Schizosaccharomyces pombe: one gene and its partners. The protein of the gene in region 2 interacts with the protein of the main gene of each other region in a biochemical or structural test. Each region holds a gene or a part of one and is shown on either strand. Other genes may lie near its edges.

The links.
Region 1: of the proteins of atf1 (region 2) and sty1, one has a biochemical effect on the other in vitro, tested with the Schizosaccharomyces pombe proteins (5 studies listed by BioGRID).
Region 3: of the proteins of atf1 (region 2) and pmk1, one has a biochemical effect on the other in vitro, tested with the Schizosaccharomyces pombe proteins (one study listed by BioGRID).
Region 4: of the proteins of atf1 (region 2) and pka1, one has a biochemical effect on the other in vitro, tested with the Schizosaccharomyces pombe proteins (one study listed by BioGRID).

What each region holds. Positions count from the first base shown.
Region 1 is NC_003424.3:205,939-210,155, reverse strand, and holds sty1 (MAP kinase Sty1), read left to right. Parts: upstream 1-2,019; 5' UTR 2,020-2,242; coding exon 2,243-3,292; 3' UTR 3,293-3,680; downstream 3,681-4,217. Other genes in the region: SPOM_SPAC24B11.07C (oxidoreductase), read left to right, coding at 1-810. UniProt on the Schizosaccharomyces pombe protein: Proline-directed serine/threonine-protein kinase involved in a signal transduction pathway that is activated by changes in the osmolarity of the extracellular environment. Controls osmotic regulation of transcription of target genes.
Region 2 is NC_003423.3:1,544,323-1,550,418, reverse strand, and holds atf1 (Atf-CREB family transcription factor Atf1), read right to left. Parts: upstream 4,203-6,096; 5' UTR 3,955-4,202; exon of another isoform or gene 3,559-3,954; intron 3,100-3,558; 5' UTR 2,759-3,099; coding exon 1,058-2,758; 3' UTR 557-1,057; downstream 1-556. Other genes in the region: contractile ring-membrane anchor Fic1, read left to right, coding at 5,653-5,700, 5,754-6,096.
Region 3 is NC_003423.3:728,768-733,460, reverse strand, and holds pmk1 (MAP kinase Pmk1), read right to left. Parts: upstream 2,646-4,693; 5' UTR 2,602-2,645; coding exon 2,536-2,601; exon of another isoform or gene 2,436-2,535; coding exon 2,256-2,435; intron 1,983-2,255; coding exon 1,911-1,982; intron 1,829-1,910; coding exon 878-1,828; 3' UTR 509-877; downstream 1-508. Other genes in the region: serine/threonine protein kinase Vps15, read right to left, coding at 2,815-4,693. UniProt on the Schizosaccharomyces pombe protein: Regulates cell integrity and functions coordinately with the protein kinase C pathway (pck1 and pck2). Involved the regulation of wall architecture, cell shape, cytokinesis in exponential and stationary phase, and metabolism of ions.
Region 4 is NC_003423.3:395,171-399,490, reverse strand, and holds pka1 (cAMP-dependent protein kinase catalytic subunit Pka1), read right to left. Parts: upstream 2,500-4,320; coding exon 961-2,499; 3' UTR 534-960; downstream 1-533. Other genes in the region: plg7 (1-alkyl-2-acetylglycerophosphocholine esterase), read left to right, coding at 1-123; cut4 (anaphase-promoting complex platform subcomplex scaffold subunit Apc1), read right to left, coding at 4,126-4,320.

The DNA of each region.
Region 1 (4,217 bases), on a different chromosome or scaffold from region 2:
TATTGTATTGATTTAGCTACTAAACAATCCCTCCAAGTTCCTCGTTTACGAACAATAAGTGCATTAATTTCGAGTATTCAACACCTTCCTCTCGTTCAACCACATCACATGAATGATATGCATGGGCCCACGGACAATTCACCTAAGAAAAACAAAGTTTTGGTTAATATGCGGCCTATTAATCCATCATCCTTCGTTTCTGATCGACATTCACCTTTACACCCATATTCTGTTCCCGAAAATGGTAAGCCAAATATGGGCAGAATTCCTTCTGCTCCGTCCCTTTCAAAAGGACGAGCAATGACTGCTGACAATATGGATATGTTGTCTCTTACAACTCGTCGCTCTAGACGTTCTTTGTATTCTCCTTCTTTGATGCAAATGCAACAGTCTTTAAAGAGTGATTATGAGGGCTTGGGTCGAACTTTTGATCCGCGTTTTGCTCCTCGAGGTTCACCTCCTGTTCGTGGTGGAAAAAACGTGTTATCCCCTGAAGCTAAAGAGCATACGCACAAGAATATATCACCTGAGTCATCAAGATTTGGTACGCCAAGTGATCCTAATTCGTCTTCTCAATCACTTGGAAATGAAGTATTGTCAAGACCAAATTCCAACTCTAATTCTGCGGAATCGCGAAACGGTGAAACTGATGACAGTGGTGAATCCGAAACGTATTTTACTCTCATGAACAACAATAAGGGAGTAGAACCTCGAGCTTCTGTGGCTTCTGAGACATCGTCAATGACGGTTATACCTAATGCGATGCGTCGCTTTCCGCTAGCTCGTGGAACTTCTCGCATGAAATCGTAGACCTCTCTTTCGGAGCCACAGTTTTCCTCATTCCTTTATCATTATAAAAGCATTGTCGTGTTAAACTTTTATTGATTTGAATTCTACTGACTCATTATTAAGCATTCTTTTGGGGATCACGTTATGTTTTTTTATTTTCTTCCGAACAATTTGCGCTAAGAATAACGCGTTAGCACTCATCGTATTGGGTTCATTTGCATCAAATTTATGAAGGCATAATTTCATTCTTTTTAATCTGGTCTATATTTTAAAAGTACTCTGTTTTTACCCCGTTTGGTTATCTCCGCCATGGAAGCAATTTGGTATAAGTCTATCATATATGTATATATATAACTTTTATTACATTTTGCATGTATCTTTGGCGAAGAATTCCATATAATACGTATCTTTAGTCTATCTGCTCACTGAGCCGTATGGTAATTTCGGCATCACATTCTTTTTTTTTTCGATTTTCCCTTCTTTTAATTTTTGTCCTTTTATTGAATTGATTTTTTATTGAAACATACATTTAACGTAGTATTGTGTCCTATTTCCTCGTAGACTTTAAATGGTATTTGTCCAAACTTTTTTAATTAAAAATTTTTTAATAAAGTAAAAGGAAAATTGAAATGGAAAATGACTTGTTGCACCTAATTATCCTTGGTTATTTCGTCCCAAAATGTGGAAGGTACAGACCCGATTAATGCCTAATCGTGAAACCATAATATTAACAACTCGCTAAGAAATCAAAACGCGGACGCTGGGCTAATAGAGGCAAACAAGCAAATTAACTACGAAATCGAGCATTATGGATCAAATGAAATGTCAGATCTATAATTGAACGGGTTTTTCAACAGTAACTGTTGTCAAAAGACAAATTGGGTTAGCTTACAAGACTTTTTCCTTGAAACACACATTTCAATAATGAATACTAGCTCAAATAGCTAAAAAAGTTGATCTAATAAAGCTGGCTTAACAACTTTACCAACTAACCCATCTCAGATCTGGACAACAAAGCCTTGGTAAGAGTAGAAGGAGTGGTCACTTTGGTGTTTATCGTCGTCAGTTGTTATCAAAAGTAGTAGTACTTTAAATTGTTTAATACATTTTAAAAACATCGTTAAACCGGCGGAACTTCATTCTTTGAGGTTCTGGATGCTGAAGCGCAAGTTCACTGTAGTGCGGTGTGCACTTAATCACAGCTACATACCTCCTTACCACAACTTAACCAGAGCACTTCATTGCTTATTACAAGCAAACACCACAATCTGTTTAACGGAATACGAGGTCCGATACCGACGATTGTTATCGTAATTATTATAAAGCTTGGCACTTCGCAGCGTTGTTGGGAACTTGTAAAAAGAAGAGAAAGTTACTTTTCGATATAGACGAAGGACGCTTAAATTTTTGAGATTATTGTTGAATAGTCCTTTTTGTAACCAGTTTGAATAAAATGGCAGAATTTATTCGTACACAAATATTCGGTACATGTTTTGAAATTACCACTAGATATAGCGACTTACAGCCGATTGGCATGGGCGCCTTTGGCCTCGTTTGTTCAGCGAAGGATCAGCTAACTGGAATGAATGTCGCTGTTAAGAAAATTATGAAACCCTTTAGTACTCCGGTACTGGCAAAACGTACCTATCGGGAATTAAAACTATTAAAGCATTTAAGGCATGAGAATATTATTAGCTTGAGCGATATTTTTATTTCTCCCTTTGAAGATATTTATTTTGTCACGGAGCTTCTGGGAACAGATCTTCATAGACTACTTACATCGCGACCTTTAGAGACGCAATTTATACAATACTTCTTATACCAAATCTTGCGAGGGCTCAAGTTTGTTCATTCTGCCGGTGTTATTCACCGTGATCTGAAACCCAGTAACATCTTAATTAACGAAAATTGCGATTTAAAAATCTGCGATTTCGGTTTGGCTCGTATTCAAGACCCTCAAATGACGGGCTATGTTTCTACTCGTTATTACCGTGCACCTGAGATTATGTTAACTTGGCAAAAGTACAACGTCGAAGTTGATATTTGGAGTGCGGGTTGTATTTTTGCTGAGATGATTGAAGGAAAACCCTTGTTTCCCGGCCGAGACCACGTTAACCAGTTTTCTATAATCACGGAATTGTTGGGAACGCCGCCTATGGAAGTAATTGAGACGATTTGCAGTAAAAACACACTTCGCTTTGTTCAATCATTGCCTCAAAAGGAGAAAGTTCCTTTTGCTGAAAAGTTCAAAAACGCCGATCCAGATGCTATTGATCTGTTAGAAAAAATGCTTGTCTTTGATCCTCGTAAGCGTATTAGTGCTGCTGATGCTTTGGCTCATAACTATCTTGCTCCATACCATGATCCTACTGATGAGCCTGTTGCTGATGAAGTTTTTGACTGGTCATTCCAAGATAATGATTTACCTGTGGAGACTTGGAAGGTCATGATGTACTCCGAGGTTTTGTCGTTTCACAACATGGATAATGAACTGCAATCCTAAACAAGTTGTAGATAAAGCCTTAAAAGTTGTTCTCGGGGTATGTTATGATTACTCTATTTTGTTCACGTGTATCATATTTATATCATCTCGGTTCCATGGAATTTTAGGCTTTTCTATTATTCTAATGGTCATCGGGTTTTTAATCCTCCGTTTAATTATAAATTACAATTGCGATTTTCAAGTGTGGTGTTTTTTCTCGCCACTCCTTTTCTAAAATATTTTGAAATTCAAATTTTTATCCTTTTTTTTCGGATATGGTAATGCGATGGCCCATGAAAATTATTTCCAACTTCCTCTTTCCAAGTAATGAACATATATACCTTCCTCTTCTTGTTTTGACTACAAATTCAGAAGTTGAATAAATCACCGAACTTCTCTTTTTGAAAGAAAAAAAAAAAAAAAAAAAAAAAAAAAAGCCATTATAATAGTTACCCATCTAGGTTTATAATGCTAATCTGTATGATTTAGTTTTTAAGTTCGTTAATGTAGTTACGGGTTTTATAATAAGTAGTGTATTTATTAATTTTTAACTTTTATTATTTATACAACAAGATTTTGGACATCTTGTGTACATGAAGTTAAATAAAAATCTTAAAAACGTTAAAAAAAATCATAGTCATCTAGGAATTACTTCATAAAACATAAAAACTTAGCAAATGCGAAGTGTATCTTCATAATCAAAAAAAGAGCTATGAATAAACAGTATCGTAAAAATAATTAAAAGGAAGAACAAATAATTTTTCCAATTAAAACTAGTTAGAGGTGATGGAGAAAGGAGAGGCTAAAACGTTAAAAGAGAAATTGGGCTCAAAACAGACGTGCTTGAAGCAACATAAATACAAAAAGGAGATTGACAGTGACAACAAATCTCCCGTTCTATGAAAAAGGGGATTAAAAAATGAAGAAGATGTTGATTAAAAATGCA
Region 2 (6,096 bases):
TTTTTCTTTGTTTTTTTTTTCCATCTTTTAACAAATGATAAAAATTATAAGCATTGATTTGTATACTAAAGCTTCGTGAATTAATTATGTCTACACTTTCTTTTAGTGTTTGAATATTCAACATCTATGCAATATATATTTTTGGATGATTGATTGTTGTCTATTTTTTTTTACGTTGCATGATTAGATTTGTGTTTAATCAATCGTTCAACAAGTTTATCTCATGTTTATTAAGCTTTCTAATTTGTTATTTTTTATTAATTGTTGTTAGAATTGAATAGTTCGTTCTAAATTGAAACAAACGTTTGCATTTTTATATACGTTTTGTAATGTGAACATCAGTAATTTCATTTTCACTTTTTGTATACATCCTCAATGTAGCGACAAACACTCACTAAGTAAAGTAAATATTGTGAAGGTGCAAATTTTAACTTGATTTCATCTTATGAATGCATGTTCGTATGATAATAGATATGTAAATGACCGATGACAAACCTATTCATTAACTTGATTTATATACTGTTCACGATATTAATACTCCCACAATACACTAAGACTTGTTGATTTCTTACATTAAAGGAAAACAGTAATCAGTTGTTATTAAAAACACTGCTGATTCTTACTAAATAATATAGTTTTAATTATTAAATCAAATCAATCTCATAAGAATGAGTTATAAGTAGTATTCTATAACTCTGCCACATGTGATGAATGGTAAACATTAAGAAAGCGTGTAGTTTTTGTTGTCCAAACGATATTATAGTGAACTAGACACGACAGACAAATTTTATCACTTCATAAAGTACTAAAAGTATGCATGCGGGACGGCGTTCAGTGCAAAATTAAAACAGTAATGGAAAACGGGAAGAAATATAAAAAGAGAAGCCTAAAGATTTTTTAATGTAAAATAAACATATATAATTTCACATCCATAACATAGCTAAATGCATGGAAAAGGGCGTTACAACCCTCAACGGAGGGAAAGTCAAAGGGAAGTAAAAACGTTATTCTTCATTACAACCATCACAGACTGAGACCTTTTCAGATCAAAAACAGTCTAGTACCCTAAATTGATTCTTTGAGCAAGATCACCGCTTCCGATGACACTTGTTGCAACAGCAGCCGAATTACTCTTGGCCACTGGGCAGTCTTTATGAGCAATCAATAAGGTCTTCAAACTCACAATTTCCTCACGTAATGCACTGACTTGTGCACTTAAAATTTCATTTTCATTACCATAAAATTCAACCTTCGCTTGAAGATTAGAAAGCCATTGTTTTTTACGCTGTCTACATTTAAGAGCAGCTTGTCGATTGCGTTCCAGGAAGCTTTTACGTTTCTCTTCATCAGTTTCGTTTTTGGAATTCCGGCGAGATGAACCTTTGCTATACGAAGTGCCGTTGGCAGATTCACTAGAAGCCTTACCATTAATGGAAGAAGTGGGTGAGGATTGATTATTGGCATTACTAGAAGGCTCTTGCGAAGTGGAATAGTCAGTACCATTTTCGAGTTTGACCGGCATCGAATTTGCCGTTGGCATATCAGAATTAGAAGTTTTTTGCGGTAGATTTGTGGATCCATTCTCGGCATTTTGTCCGGAAAAGTCCGTGGTTTGGCGTAATGTTAATGAAGGGTCGGCAGGATTAACTGTATCGCCGTAAACAGATGGCATGCCGTTAAATTGTTGCGACCCCATAAAGTACATAGGCTGTTGCTGAGTACGAGATGCTTGAGGGTTCATTGTACCTGTAACAGCTTGGGGGTTAGTATTTTGAGTAAAAGATGGCCGGATAGAGTCGGGGAAAGTCTGTTGCTGAGTTTGCTTCAGGAGGTTGTTGGCAGTGGTGGATGCTGCTTGATCGTTTTCAGAGGAGATGGGTTGCTGAAGCTTTTGCTGCTGATCGGGAACCTGGGAGAGTAAGCATAACCCATGAACCGCAGCATTGGCACCGAAATAATCAGACTGGTCACCATTCGTCCCATTTACAACAGGCGGTTTACCATCCCTTGGGGTAAAACGATATTGATCAGGAAATTGAGAATCAAACGTATGAAACCCTAATAAATTGGCAGTACCAGGTGAAGGAGCGGGAAATCCAGCTCCAGTAGGGGTTAAAAGAGATCGGAAGGGTTCATTAACACCAGGAGTAAATCCAGTTCCACTAGAAAATCTAGCTGCTGCAGATGCATCTGAAGGATTGTTTAGGTAGTCAGGACGAAGAGTAGCATCATAAATAGCAGGAGAAAGGGGATTATGCATTGTACCACGAGTAAAAGCAGACCAAGCAGGATAGCCCAACGGCGAGGCAATACCTGGAGCTCCACTTAAGATATCAGGTGATGCTATGGAAGAAACAGGAGGTAAGAGAGTTCGCGCAAACGCAGGAGGCACACCTGAAGGAATGTTACTAAGGCTAGGATTACGATTAAGAGAAGGATTTCCTTGTCCAACCGAAGCGGTAGAGCCAAATGAATGCTCAAAGGGGTTGGGTTCGTAATCCAGCTTCAAGGAGCCTACGAAAGACGGAGTTACACCATCGGATTGGTCAGCTGGATTCGCATTAGCGACAGATCCGGCCCCTCCATTAGGAGCGATAGTTGAAGACTGTTGATTCTGCTGAGAATTGTTGCTTGGTGGTGCAAATGAATCAGATTGATTGTTTTCCGGAACCTGAGTACTGGAAGCAGTAGCATTACCATTTGAAACAGCGGCAACAGATGCTGGTTCTGTGGAAGTATTGACGGGAGACGGGGACATAATTGAAGAATTTATGCTTTAACACTTGACAAAATGTATTAAGAGATGACGTTAAAAATCACACACGCTTAAATAACGAAAATAAATAATTTAGATATATAGATGAACCCGTTTAAAGAGAAGATCGAAAATAGTTTTGTCAAAACTAAATAAAAAAACAACTACAAGAAATTAATGGCTTTCCAAATTTGACAAGACAGAAGTAATAACGGCTGATAAAGCAGAAAAAATAGAAACTATATTGTTTCAATAAAAAAGAAAAGAAAAAAAAAGGAGGAGGAGATTAAGGAGATAAAAATACAACTTTCTCGAAAAAAAAAGGGAAAACCGCGACGGAGGCTCTAGACGAGAATTAGTTAGATGTCTGTACAGGCAAAGCTAGAAGACTAGATATGCAAGATTGTGAAGGAAGATATTCTACAAAGGGTAAAAAAAAACTCGCAAAGGTAATAGTCAAGTTTGTAAAAGAACATGTCCAAATAAAATAACAAAGAAACTAATAAAGAATTACAAAAGATAAAAGGGATGTTCCTACTCTTTGTTCTTTTCCTTTTCTTCGTTCGATCGTTTTTGTTAGGGTGTGTTGATTTGGATTATATGAATGTGGAGGCCTTTTTTGAATGAGTTTCAGAACTTAATGTGAGAGAGTACAGTCAAGCGTAGAGTAATAAAGAGATTCGTACTTCAACAGCAAATACACCTGCTAAAACACCCGTTTTTCTTTTTTGGAAATTTTTTTGCCAAAAACGAGACAAAACGGGTTTTCCGCTCTTCTAGCTTCCTTTCTACTCTTGTTCTCTTCCCGTGTGCGTTTATTCACTTCCGAGAAATCATTCATCAAAAGTTGCCACCACATAGATCCCAGTTCAGTCAAGGCAATAGTAACCTACAATGGTAACAAGTAAAATTTTCTAGCACAACAACACCAAAAAAAAATTTCCAAACCCTCAAAAAACGAAGGAATTCCAAACACATTTTACGTTTCCTGTAAACTAACAACCCCATAACGATCAGTGTTATTGATAAGAAAGCGTCATACTCGTCATGTTTAGTAGGGTCAATGACGATAGGAGCAAATTTTCAAATTTTCATAAAAATTCGGTTTTCAACACAACCCGTCACGTTTTTATCACGCTCTTCCAATTTTACAGCCTTTTACATAATCAAACTTCACAATTGCATGTATAAACACATACCTATTTGACTTAATCAACCAAACGTACTAGTAGCAGGTCGTCGTCATGAACCAGAGAATTCGTAATTCAGATCCAACTAAGCGATGACTACTGTATAAATGATGAAAAGACTCGGTCAACTGTCCAAACTGAAATTTACAAACAGAAAAATGGTTTTCGTCAATTCAATCGTTCAAAAAGTGCTCAAAGTAAACTTTTTAGCAATTTCCTAAGTAGTTTCTTTCTTCTTATGTTGTAAGTAAAGGGTAAGTTGTAAATTCCTAGTGCCACACTTCCACCTGTTTCAAACAGATGACGTCATTGCATCACTTTGCATGATTGAACTTAACCAATCACGTGCGGGGCTCTGAAGAAGGGTAACAAGGAAATGGGTCTGGAATAAACCGAGCAAGACGATACTTAAAGTACTGCTGTGTAGTTTTGTATTTTGTGTTATCGTATCGTTAAGAAACGTATCGATAGTTTGGGGAATGGGAAAGGATGGACGGAAAGTAGGATGTTATTGGTATATCATGGAGTGCGTGCTTTTTAAGCAAATATGATGTTAGCAATATGTAGTAAAAATGGTGAGTTTGTGTATAGTGCCATGAATCTTATTTCACTCTTAACTCAAGCTTATTTTATATTAACCGATGAATGAATAAATAATATATCTTTGATGAAGCTAAATCGTTGCGTGTATTTCTGATATTATGTTGTATGTAGGTAAGTGTTTTAGGTTGGACTTCTGCGTGTTTGTAAGATGTGTACGTACGCTGAGTAATTAGCAATGTATGAATAGATCCAGCAGTTCCAGAAGACCTACGAAAAAATAAAATAAAATAAAATAAAATAAAGTAAAAAATAAAATTAAAATAAAAATAAAGATAGGTTATACGCAGAAATAATATACAAGTTTCAAATATTATGAGTACTTGTCACGAATTCAATTATGGAGAATTCTGTACAGTAGGATCTTTCAAAAAGTCTTTACATAGACTTAGATTGTATATATAACATACCAACCCTTACAACATTTAAATAACAGTTTTAATAGCTAATTCATTTGTTTTACAATGAAATCTTTTGCTTACATTTTCGGGAACTTATTAGTCAATACGGGTTGGCATTTTGTTGGGATTACGGATCCGAAAACTACCCAAAAGATAAGCAAAGAAAATGAAGTTTTTTAAAAACAAAATAAATTTGTATTCGTGAAACATAAAAGAATAAAAAAATTAAGTTAGAAACATTTTATGCAAATCATTCCATTCAATTAGCAATTGTGATGGAATTGGTTATACCAATAGATATTTTACACTCATTTTAAAACAATTAAAATTAAGTGAATATATTTGTGTGGTGTGTACTGAGTCAATCATTAATGCAATTAGTTATATTAATAAAGTTCTTTTTGTTTGCGATAACTTTCGTCTCTCTTTTTTTTTTTTTTTTTTTGTTAATTTTTAATTTTTTTTAACACGGCATCTTTCTTCACGAATTTCCTAACTGGAGCCATCAATATCGTAGCGTACACAAATTTCCGTTAAAGCATTTTAAATTGCAGTAAGCTACGTTAAATGAATGAACGAAAGCTAACCCCCGTTATCGGAGACAAACCAGCCCCCTCCTACAGAAGTTGCGCTGCACTGCTTAAAATCCGCACTCGAATTGTATAAAGTAGCTTTTTTGTTTATAACCCGTTTCTCCATCTACCATATGTCAAAGAATCCTCTTGGAACGTTGGTTGTCCGAATATGGAAAGCTGTAAGTCTTAAAAGATGAAGATTTGTTTTGTAAAACTAACGTGTCTTCTTTAGAAAAATTTACCAAACAAGGCTCTAGTGGGCAAACAAAGCCCTTACTGCGTTTGCAGAGTTGGTGAGGTGGTAAAACGTACGCAAACGGATAAGAGAAGCGGTCAAGAACCATCGTGGAATGCGGTACTGGAGTTTAACATTCCCAGTGAATCTTATCATATTATGAAAATAACCGTTTTTCACGAGGGATTTCGAAAGCATCCACACTTGATTGGTGATACTGTATTGTCTTTTGAGAAAGCGATGAAAGAAGAGTTACAAAGTGAATGGTATGAACTAAAAAATGAGTTCCAATTTGCTGGCGAGCTATCTGTGCAATTCAAGTTTATCCCCACTGATCCTC
Region 3 (4,693 bases), 820 kb from region 2:
GTGACGTCGTTTTTCCCTTTTATTTTTCCCGTTAGCCTTTACTGGAATCAAGGTCGCCCGCCTTCTGCTTTATTTCATTGCTAGTAATGGATGCCATAGCGGCAATTGCCAAAATTTTCTCCTAAAAAAAACTGTTCCTTTTATATAGGATTTGCGCATCATGATTTGCTTTCCCAAAAAACAACGGAATCTGTACGACCTTTTTTGCAGGTATTTGTAAAGGCTTTCCCTTTCTATTGTAAAACTTCATTCGCGTCTCGAATATCATCTTACATATTTTTTCTGATTTATAAAAATATGCACATAATTTCATATTCGACCGCTTTGCATTTCATTATAAGACGCTTCTACTTGAAGAGAGCTATCCTTGTGCACGAATGTTGTTTAATTGTTGCAGGATACAAATTCATGACTGATGTATTTATTCATCTATTTTGTCTTGGTTAGTTAGTTTTGTGATTTCATTGGGATGTTCCCTAATAAAGGAAATTACTCTACCACAGATATACTCGTTCACTAGTAAAAGTAATATTTTTAAGTAATTAGCTGTTCTATTTATATATTTTTCTAGTTGTAGTACGGGTGTATATGCATGCATGTATGTATAACAAAATGTTTCAAGCTGTGAGACTATAAAGCGTGCAAGAAAAGGGAGCACAAAGATCGCCAAATATTATATGCAAAACAGTAAATGAAGGACTAATGCAAATGAGTATTTTTTATGGAAATTAAACGAGCAAACAGAGATTCGACAGTAGCCAGCAAAGCTCAAAAGATAGCAATAGCTAATTTATGTAAAAATGAGAAAACGCAATGAATGATTTGTATGCAAATGTTACCGTAAAAAGGCTCAATAAAACCAGCTGCTGCCAATGTATTAGTTATGGCGATTATCATCAGACTTATGGTCTATAGCAGCAGTTTCATTATAAGAATGATCATGGCGCTTTTTGTTAGAGGTTTGAGAGGATGAAGAGCTACTAACATTGAAAGAACCATTGTCATTAGATGGAACGGTTTGGGCTGGTTGCGGGATGTTGACTGTTGGGTTTGTTGGATGAGAGCGGCGTCGGACTTTCTGACGGAAGTTTAAAACTTCATCTAAAATGACACGGCGTAACTCATTTGCATCCTCAATGTATTCAAAGCTGAAATCAAAGACGGAATCACACACAGGTTCGTCAGAGGGATCATGCCAAACAGCTAAATAGGGATGTTCTAAAGCATCGTCAACCGAAATACGTCTGTTGGGGTCGAAAGCCAAGAGCTTAGCAAGCAGGTCAAGAGCCAAAGGATTGGCTTTAGGAAAATTGGTTTCAAAAGGAATAGGTCTTTGCTTTGGCAAGCTTCGAACATACTCCTGTGCACGGGAACTGCTTATATGAGACAGGGTTTCCTCATCAGGTGTGCCAAGTTGATGCAAAATTAAATTTAACTGATGAACAAAATCTTTTCCCTTAAACAAAGGGGTTCCACCTAATAGCTCTGCCAAAATGCAACCAACACTCCAAACATCAATACCTTTATGATAGCTGCTGAACGAAAGCATAATTTCCGGAGCTCTGTACCAGCGCGTTGCCACATACTCCGTCATAAAACCAGGATTTTCTTCTGGATTTTCAGAACATCCGCGAGCGAGGCCAAAATCGCAAATTTTCAGCTCACAATCAGCGTTAACTAAAAGATTACCTGGCTTTAAGTCACGATGAATAACGTTGGCAGAATGAATATACTTTAAACCACAAAGTATCTGGTAAATGAATGATTGAAAATGCGCATCCGTTAATGGCTGACCGGATTTAATAATAGCATTCAAATCGGCCTCCATCTATTATAATAGTTAGTAAGTAATTATACAAATATTTCCGTGACTAAAACAGACACCATATGTGGATCATCGCGTAACATACCAACTCTTCGTAAATGTAAACTTCATTAAAATTGTATGGATTTATAATGTCGAGATCGTAAATGCAAGTAATCTACCATGTTAGTAAAGTTTATAAAAAATAGGAAAGACATCACTATGCAAATGTAAGACAATGAGCAGTTCAAATTTTTTAATCAACCGAATTCCAAACATTATATCAAGATTTATAAAGGAAATACTTTTCAAGGATGATTAGAACTCATTTCTCATAGAAGACTTTTCATTGTATAAAAATTTGCATTTTCATCAAAATGCACCTCGTTAATACATCCCGGTGATGATGAGTAATCAATCACAGGAAGCCGTTTTTGCATAAAAGACTTACGTTACGATGATTACGAAAATGAATCAGCAGTTTTATCTCTCTCAAAGCTCTTTTTGTAAGAATGGATTTAGAAAACACATTCGTAATTTTTTTTATGGCTACAGCCTCTTGATCTTTGCTAGCCACGTTTCTTGCTGCACAAACAATGCCGTAAGCGCCTTGACCCAACTCCTTCACTACCTAAACTATGTTAGTTTTCCTAAAAGTTCAAGCAGATGCGATTTTCTGTCAAGTAAACAAAATGTTTTGCAAATGCAGCAGTTACCCAAATATCTCATACCTTAAAATTAGGCTCGACATACATCTCCTGGTTAAACACACGGTAAACACGATGTCGACGGTCCATCCTTGCGACTTATAGCATGCAACTTGAATTTTTAGCTGTTTGGCAAAAGGGATGTGGAAAAAACTACAGTACATCACTTGTAGTGATTAACGATGCCTTATATTTCACTATTTGAATGCAAGTCGGTTAGATTTGAAGACTATCAGATGGAATTTATGGTATTAAAGAATATGCATACAAATCTAATAAATATATGAGGAATACTAAAAGAAACTAGGTCCAGAGTTCAAGACTACCAAAAGCGTCAACAATAAGCACTATAGCGTACGGTTGGTACAAGAAGGCCATGTCAACGATGGGGTGCAGACGATTTTCGCTAGGTAGATTCTTTTGCTGTTGAAGGAATAGAAGAGGCCTTGACACTCCCGAAGACTTTGGGCGTACATTCTGTTGTTCAGAGACTTTTTGGTAGATAGGAGGTTTGTTATGTATTAAAGATAGTTTTGAACTCTCGGAGTCGTTGGTCACCGACGAACTAGCAGAGACATTGTGGGGATTCCAAATAAACGCATGAGGGCTTCCAGAAGCGGCAATGAGAAAAAGTGGCTCTCGTTCGACAGAACCTGCAGACGGACCTCTGTACCTATAGATTGGACTAGATATACAAGGCCAAGGAGAGTCGAATTTGGTATTCAAATCTCTTAATCCCATGTCATTGCCAGAATCTATATCAAACTTTTTTTTTTCATTAAAAGCATCAATTCCAACAGATACCGGAATCGGACTGGTGAGTGAAGAATTCCAGTTTTCTAAGAAAACCTCTTCGGTTTTCCCTTTTTCAACGTCAAAATTTACTATGCCTGAAGCGGATCTGTGACTCGCTGGAACTGCATCTTCAAGATTAACTTCTTTATTATCCAAGTTGGTAAGGACGCTAAAACTGATACTGACTGTAGTGCTTCCAAACGAGTTTAACATTCCGTGATTTTCTAAAGGATTGATGGGAATAGTAGAGTTAATTGGCTGAGTACTACTTGAACTTGTACTTGAGCTACCTGGAACCTTGGTAACGGGACTATTGTTATTTCCGGAAGTATACTCATTAACGTTGCTACGTTTTTTGGTAACATCTAAAAGAAGATGCATCTGATCAATCCTGGCTGGCATATGCCAAGAGCATGATAATGTCCCAAAGCGGAGGTCCCAAAGTAAGAGCCATCCTTTGGTAGTCCCAATTAAAGCCCAATTACAACCCTCAGAAACTACTACACTAGTAGCTGACCCACACTGTAATGGTAATTGGTCTGATGACAAAACCCTCATCATTCCCACGTCTAAGTATACGATGCGTGACCATTTTGTAACAACGACTAGACGGATACTCCCGTCGTGAAATGTAGAAGCTTCCATGGAGGTTACAGAATCACTGAAATCCAAATTGGGAATACGACCAGCCGAAATTAGAGTATGCCGCTGATTGTTAACGTCAAGTCTGTGAACTTCCACAGAGCCATCTTGAGTAACAGAAGCAAAAGCGTATGTATTACCTAGAAAGCATCCATTGACCACAGAAAATCTATTCCTCTCGCCATTACGTCGCGTATGCCCATAACTTAATCGGCATTCACATCTCATAGTTGAAATATGACGAACACTTTCAACTAATTGCCATGCTCTTACAACACCGTCAGATCCCAAGGTAACGAAAAAAGATGAATCTGGACTAACCAAAACTTTCTTCGTACCTCCATCAAGAAGGCTTCCTAAATATATCTGAGCAACTCGTGATCCTTCTGGATGCCATTCATGAGTCTGAACTATTTTATTCGCAGCCTTCGCAGACACCTTTGTTCTACGACGCAAAGGTATATTAGAAGCCCAGCTTGGTGAAACAGCAGCACCAACGTTAAGTGTCGAAGCCGCTGCTTCTGCATAAATTTTATTTAAATAATTTAAGACGCATGGATTAGTTCCAGTATACGATGATTTTTTTGCGCCATTTTGCCTCGTGGTAAGCTTTTTCAAATCGATATGAGTAGTAAATGATCTTTGGCTTCGAATACCGGCAACATTAGTTGTATCATTCGTTGAAACCCTAGAAGAGATCAACGGTGCGAGGCTTTTCCCCTTCGATTCTTTAGCATGTTTGTCA
Region 4 (4,320 bases), 1.1 Mb from region 2:
CGCATTAATACTCGTTCATCTGTACAATTCCTTCGTGAAAATCATGTTGAAAATGTTCAGGGAGATAATGATCCTTCGTCGTTGCAAACAAATATTATTCCTGGGTGGGAAAGAATTATGTAGTATTTACCACTTTTACAAAGAGCTAAAAACTCTTAAAAACAAAACTCTTTTGACTTTTCTTGTCTTTTTATCTATCGCCGATGCTAATTATAATATTTATTGACTGTCATGCTAATGAGTTAACTGTTTGGCACAAATTTCTTATAGCTTATAAAGAAGATTTTCGAAAGCTTACCTGTTAATGTGGATTGAATATGGTAACTATTACTTTTTGGGAGCCTGTGCTTAGGACCGCGATGATTAAGGACGAACATTTACGCTAAGTGTGTGATTTTGAAAAATTTAGACTAATATTTATAATTTGTAATATGTCTTATATACTGATAGATTCTTTTATCATTTTACATTATTATTTATTCAACAAAATAATTTACCAACCAATTACGAATGAAACCACCATTAATTATAGATACAAGGAAATTCAATGATTATTAGCGGATATATGTATCTAGTTGTTGCACAGTTTCAACAAACAATGCTCTTTTGTCTGTTCAACATGAAGAAGAAATGACTTGGGGTTTAACATAACCATAAAAAAACAGAATATATAAATAAAATGGAGTGGAAATACATCAGAGCAGGCTAATTGCCTGGAAAAACATCAAAATAAATAGCTTCAACTGAGATCATCATATCCCATCCAAACATAAAGTCGGTCCATTACACCAGCACAAAAAACTGAAGCCAATATTGGTGAATTGCAAAATCAGTGCTACAAACGTCACTTGCATTGCACTAAATCAAATAGGCATTCGTTGCTCAACGCTTTAAGGCAATAGTACAATGAATCAATAAGCATTCGAGTATCTTAAAACAAAACAAACGTGGCACAAAACATCAAAAGTCCTTAAAGATAGAAGTAAATTCAGGATCTTCAGATGTTCCATAATCCGTAGCTACATCAGCATAAGCGTCAAATTGACTGGAATCACCCATTCCAGCTTGAATGGGAGGAACATACGGAACCTCAATTTTCCGAGTAAGGATCTTGTCCCAGCTGATATCACGGAACCAAGGGTGCATAATAATATCCATGCTACCATCTTTCAAATTTCCATAGCGGCAGGTTATGTCTCGCTGAAGTAAATGGCTCAACAAATCAATACTAGCAGGAGAAAAGTACGATGGATAGTTGACCTTGCCTTCAAGGATATTCTCATACAACTTCATTGGATTCTCAGAGTAAAATGGAGGATAACCCGCAAGCATTTCAAAGATAAGAATACCAAGGGACCACCAATCTGCAGCTTTGTTGTACGGTTTTAAAGATATGATTTCCGGGGCTAAATAATCGGGGGTACCACAAAGAGTACAACAGTTGCTAGTAGAGACGCGTTTGGCAAAACCAAAGTCCACAATTTTCAAATGACCAAACCGGTCAAGAAGAAGATTTTCGGGTTTTAAATCTCGATATACGATTTGATTGTGGTGAAGATAATCAAGAGCAAGGATCACTTCTGCTGCATAAAATTTGGCAACTTTTTCGGGAAATCGATGACATTTACGAAGCAAAGAAAAAAGCTCTCCTCCTTCAGCAAAATCCATGACCATAAACAGATTTTTGGCATCTTGGAAAGTACCCCATAGAATGGTAATGAACGGGTGTTGGACACGGGATAAAATGTATCTCTCATCGCAAGTGTGCTCTATTTGCTTCATATCAACGATTTTTTTCTTTTCTAAAACCTTGATGGCGTAATACAGGCGATTGTGATTCGACTGAACGAGATGAACTCGACCAAACGAGCCAGTGCCCAATGTTTGTAAGAAATTGAAATCTTGTATTCCATATCGATCTTTTGTGGTGTGGTCAGCAGGACGAATCCTTCGACGCTGTAAATCGAGCAGCTGACTAACCCGAACTTTACGAATATGGCGATCGCGTAGCCCATCCATAGCTGACCGTCTCTCTCCGTGTTCTGAACCTAGTTCACCACGACCGTCCCGCGAATGTCTTTGATGGCTGCTTTGGCTACTACTTCTACTCGCGCTTTCAGGAAGAGGTGAAGGGATCAAATTATCGATGTTTTGGTAACCAACAGAATGGGCACTTGCACAGCCAGACGTACTGGTGCTAACCAAGCTGTCGGGTTTTTTGCTTTTCGTGGCCTCTTCCAAAGCTTTAGGGATGCCCGAAGTCCACAGACTTGATTCATTATGGTTATTATGACCATTGCTTACACTTGCATCACTACCAACAGAATCATGAACAGAGGGTTTGCCATTAAAAGAATTTGTTCCATGTCGCTGCTGTTCCGAATATTCATTAACGCTGCCGGCATTCATAGATGGATGCAAAGAGGCACTTGTAGATAGAGTGTCAGTTGAAGAACCCACGTTAGTACTTCCTTTGGAAGCAACGGCAGTCGTATCCATGAGTACAAATGTGAAATAGCGTTTATACACGAAAAGATAATTAAAATTCACTAATCGTTCGTCAAACTTATAAAGTACCCGAAAACAAGAATAAGGTTAAAAGAGGTCGAGGCAAAAAGGTCGTTACCTTTGAACAACCTTCGAATATATGTATATAAACCGCAACAATAGCAGTAATCTTAGAGTTCTTTTTTGGTGCGCTGCTTATTATAGCGAAGCAAAAATAAATAAAGAATCAGCGTAGATAGAAAGAGCGAAATTTACTTCCTCTAAATAATTTATTAAAATAAAGAGGACAGCGGCAGAAAAGAAACTATTTTAAGTGAAATTCCAGTCGCTCAACACAAGTAAAAACCCAACAAGAATAAAGACAAATAATACTCGTTTGCTCAATCAATCCGGGCAAACGAAATCCTTCAAAGTAAAATTGGAAGCAACTTAATGTCTAACAAACTGTTATTCCAAAAGTACAAATGAACACGAACGATAATTCGATACACCTGAGACAAAAAATAAGAAGATAAGCTAAATCGACTCTGAGTCCTTCAAAGATAATCTATAGCAGACAAAAATAGATAACAATAGTTATAGCAAGCGTTCAAAAATACAAATTAACATAAACCGACGTTACAGATTCACGGTTTTCACAACAATACTGAGCCTTTCACTCTTAGCGCAGAACCAAAGGTGTATTAAGTAAAACTACAAGTCTTTTTGATACAGAAAGCTTTTGTAGAATTAGCGGCTTTCGAGAAACGAGCTATTCACACTTCCTATGCGTTCGCAAGCTTCAATTTGTGTTTTGCTAACGAAAGAAGTGTTGTGTCATAGGATGCAAGGTTGAAGTCATGCCCTTACTACCCCTCAAAAACGAAGGAATTTTTAATGAGGCGAATAATCGTACGTAAATTATAATAGGGGAATTTAATGTAGATCGTTACAAAACTTCAGCATCTCAGTGCATGTCGGATTTAAAGACTTCTATTTAAATTTTAAGATTGAATTCGTCAGGTGGATTTAGATGGTTTAATACAGTGTATTAATTATCGGGTGTAATTCATTAAATTATAATATTTGGAACCGTTACTCGAAAGTCATAGATTCGAACATCAAGAACTTATGTAAACAGCATACAACGATATAGTGTTAGTTAGTAGCTCGAAGTGTCATGCTTAAATCAATTAATTAACGAAAGGAGGGAAAAGATATAGAAAAAGGATAAAAAAGCTAATCTATTTTCAACGGCGCCTTGAGACAGGCGGTATTACCCCTTGAAGAACCATGGGTGCTTAGTAGTTGTCGCAATAATATTCTTTTTACTTTGCCCAGTGAAATAGTTTGAGCATCAGTATTCCAATTAACAATTTATTATTAACTTCGATTTCCTTTTAACAAACCATTATTTGAAGATAGCTATTAATCATGATCGTGAAAAAAGTGTTGCATTGGATATGCCACCTTGTATATTAATTGAGACATTAAGGTATTTATACAAGTCGTTAATTTTAAGGGGTTCTATTTTTTTAAACTTCAATTTTCCTTTTGAAGGATTGATATGATGGAAAAGATTTTTGGAAACCATTCAGCCCATTAGCATATCATATAATTAATAAACGTAGTTCATAATTATACAGATTCTTCATTATGATTATGAGAATACACATACTCCCATACTCTCAAACTCAAATCTTCTACCAAATCACGAGAAAGGAAAAGATATTGACGGGAGTGAAACTTATTCAAGAGCACACCAGTCCAACAAGACTCAAAAAATTGTAACAGTATTTGCAAACTTAATAAACGGTCTCTAGTTAAATTATC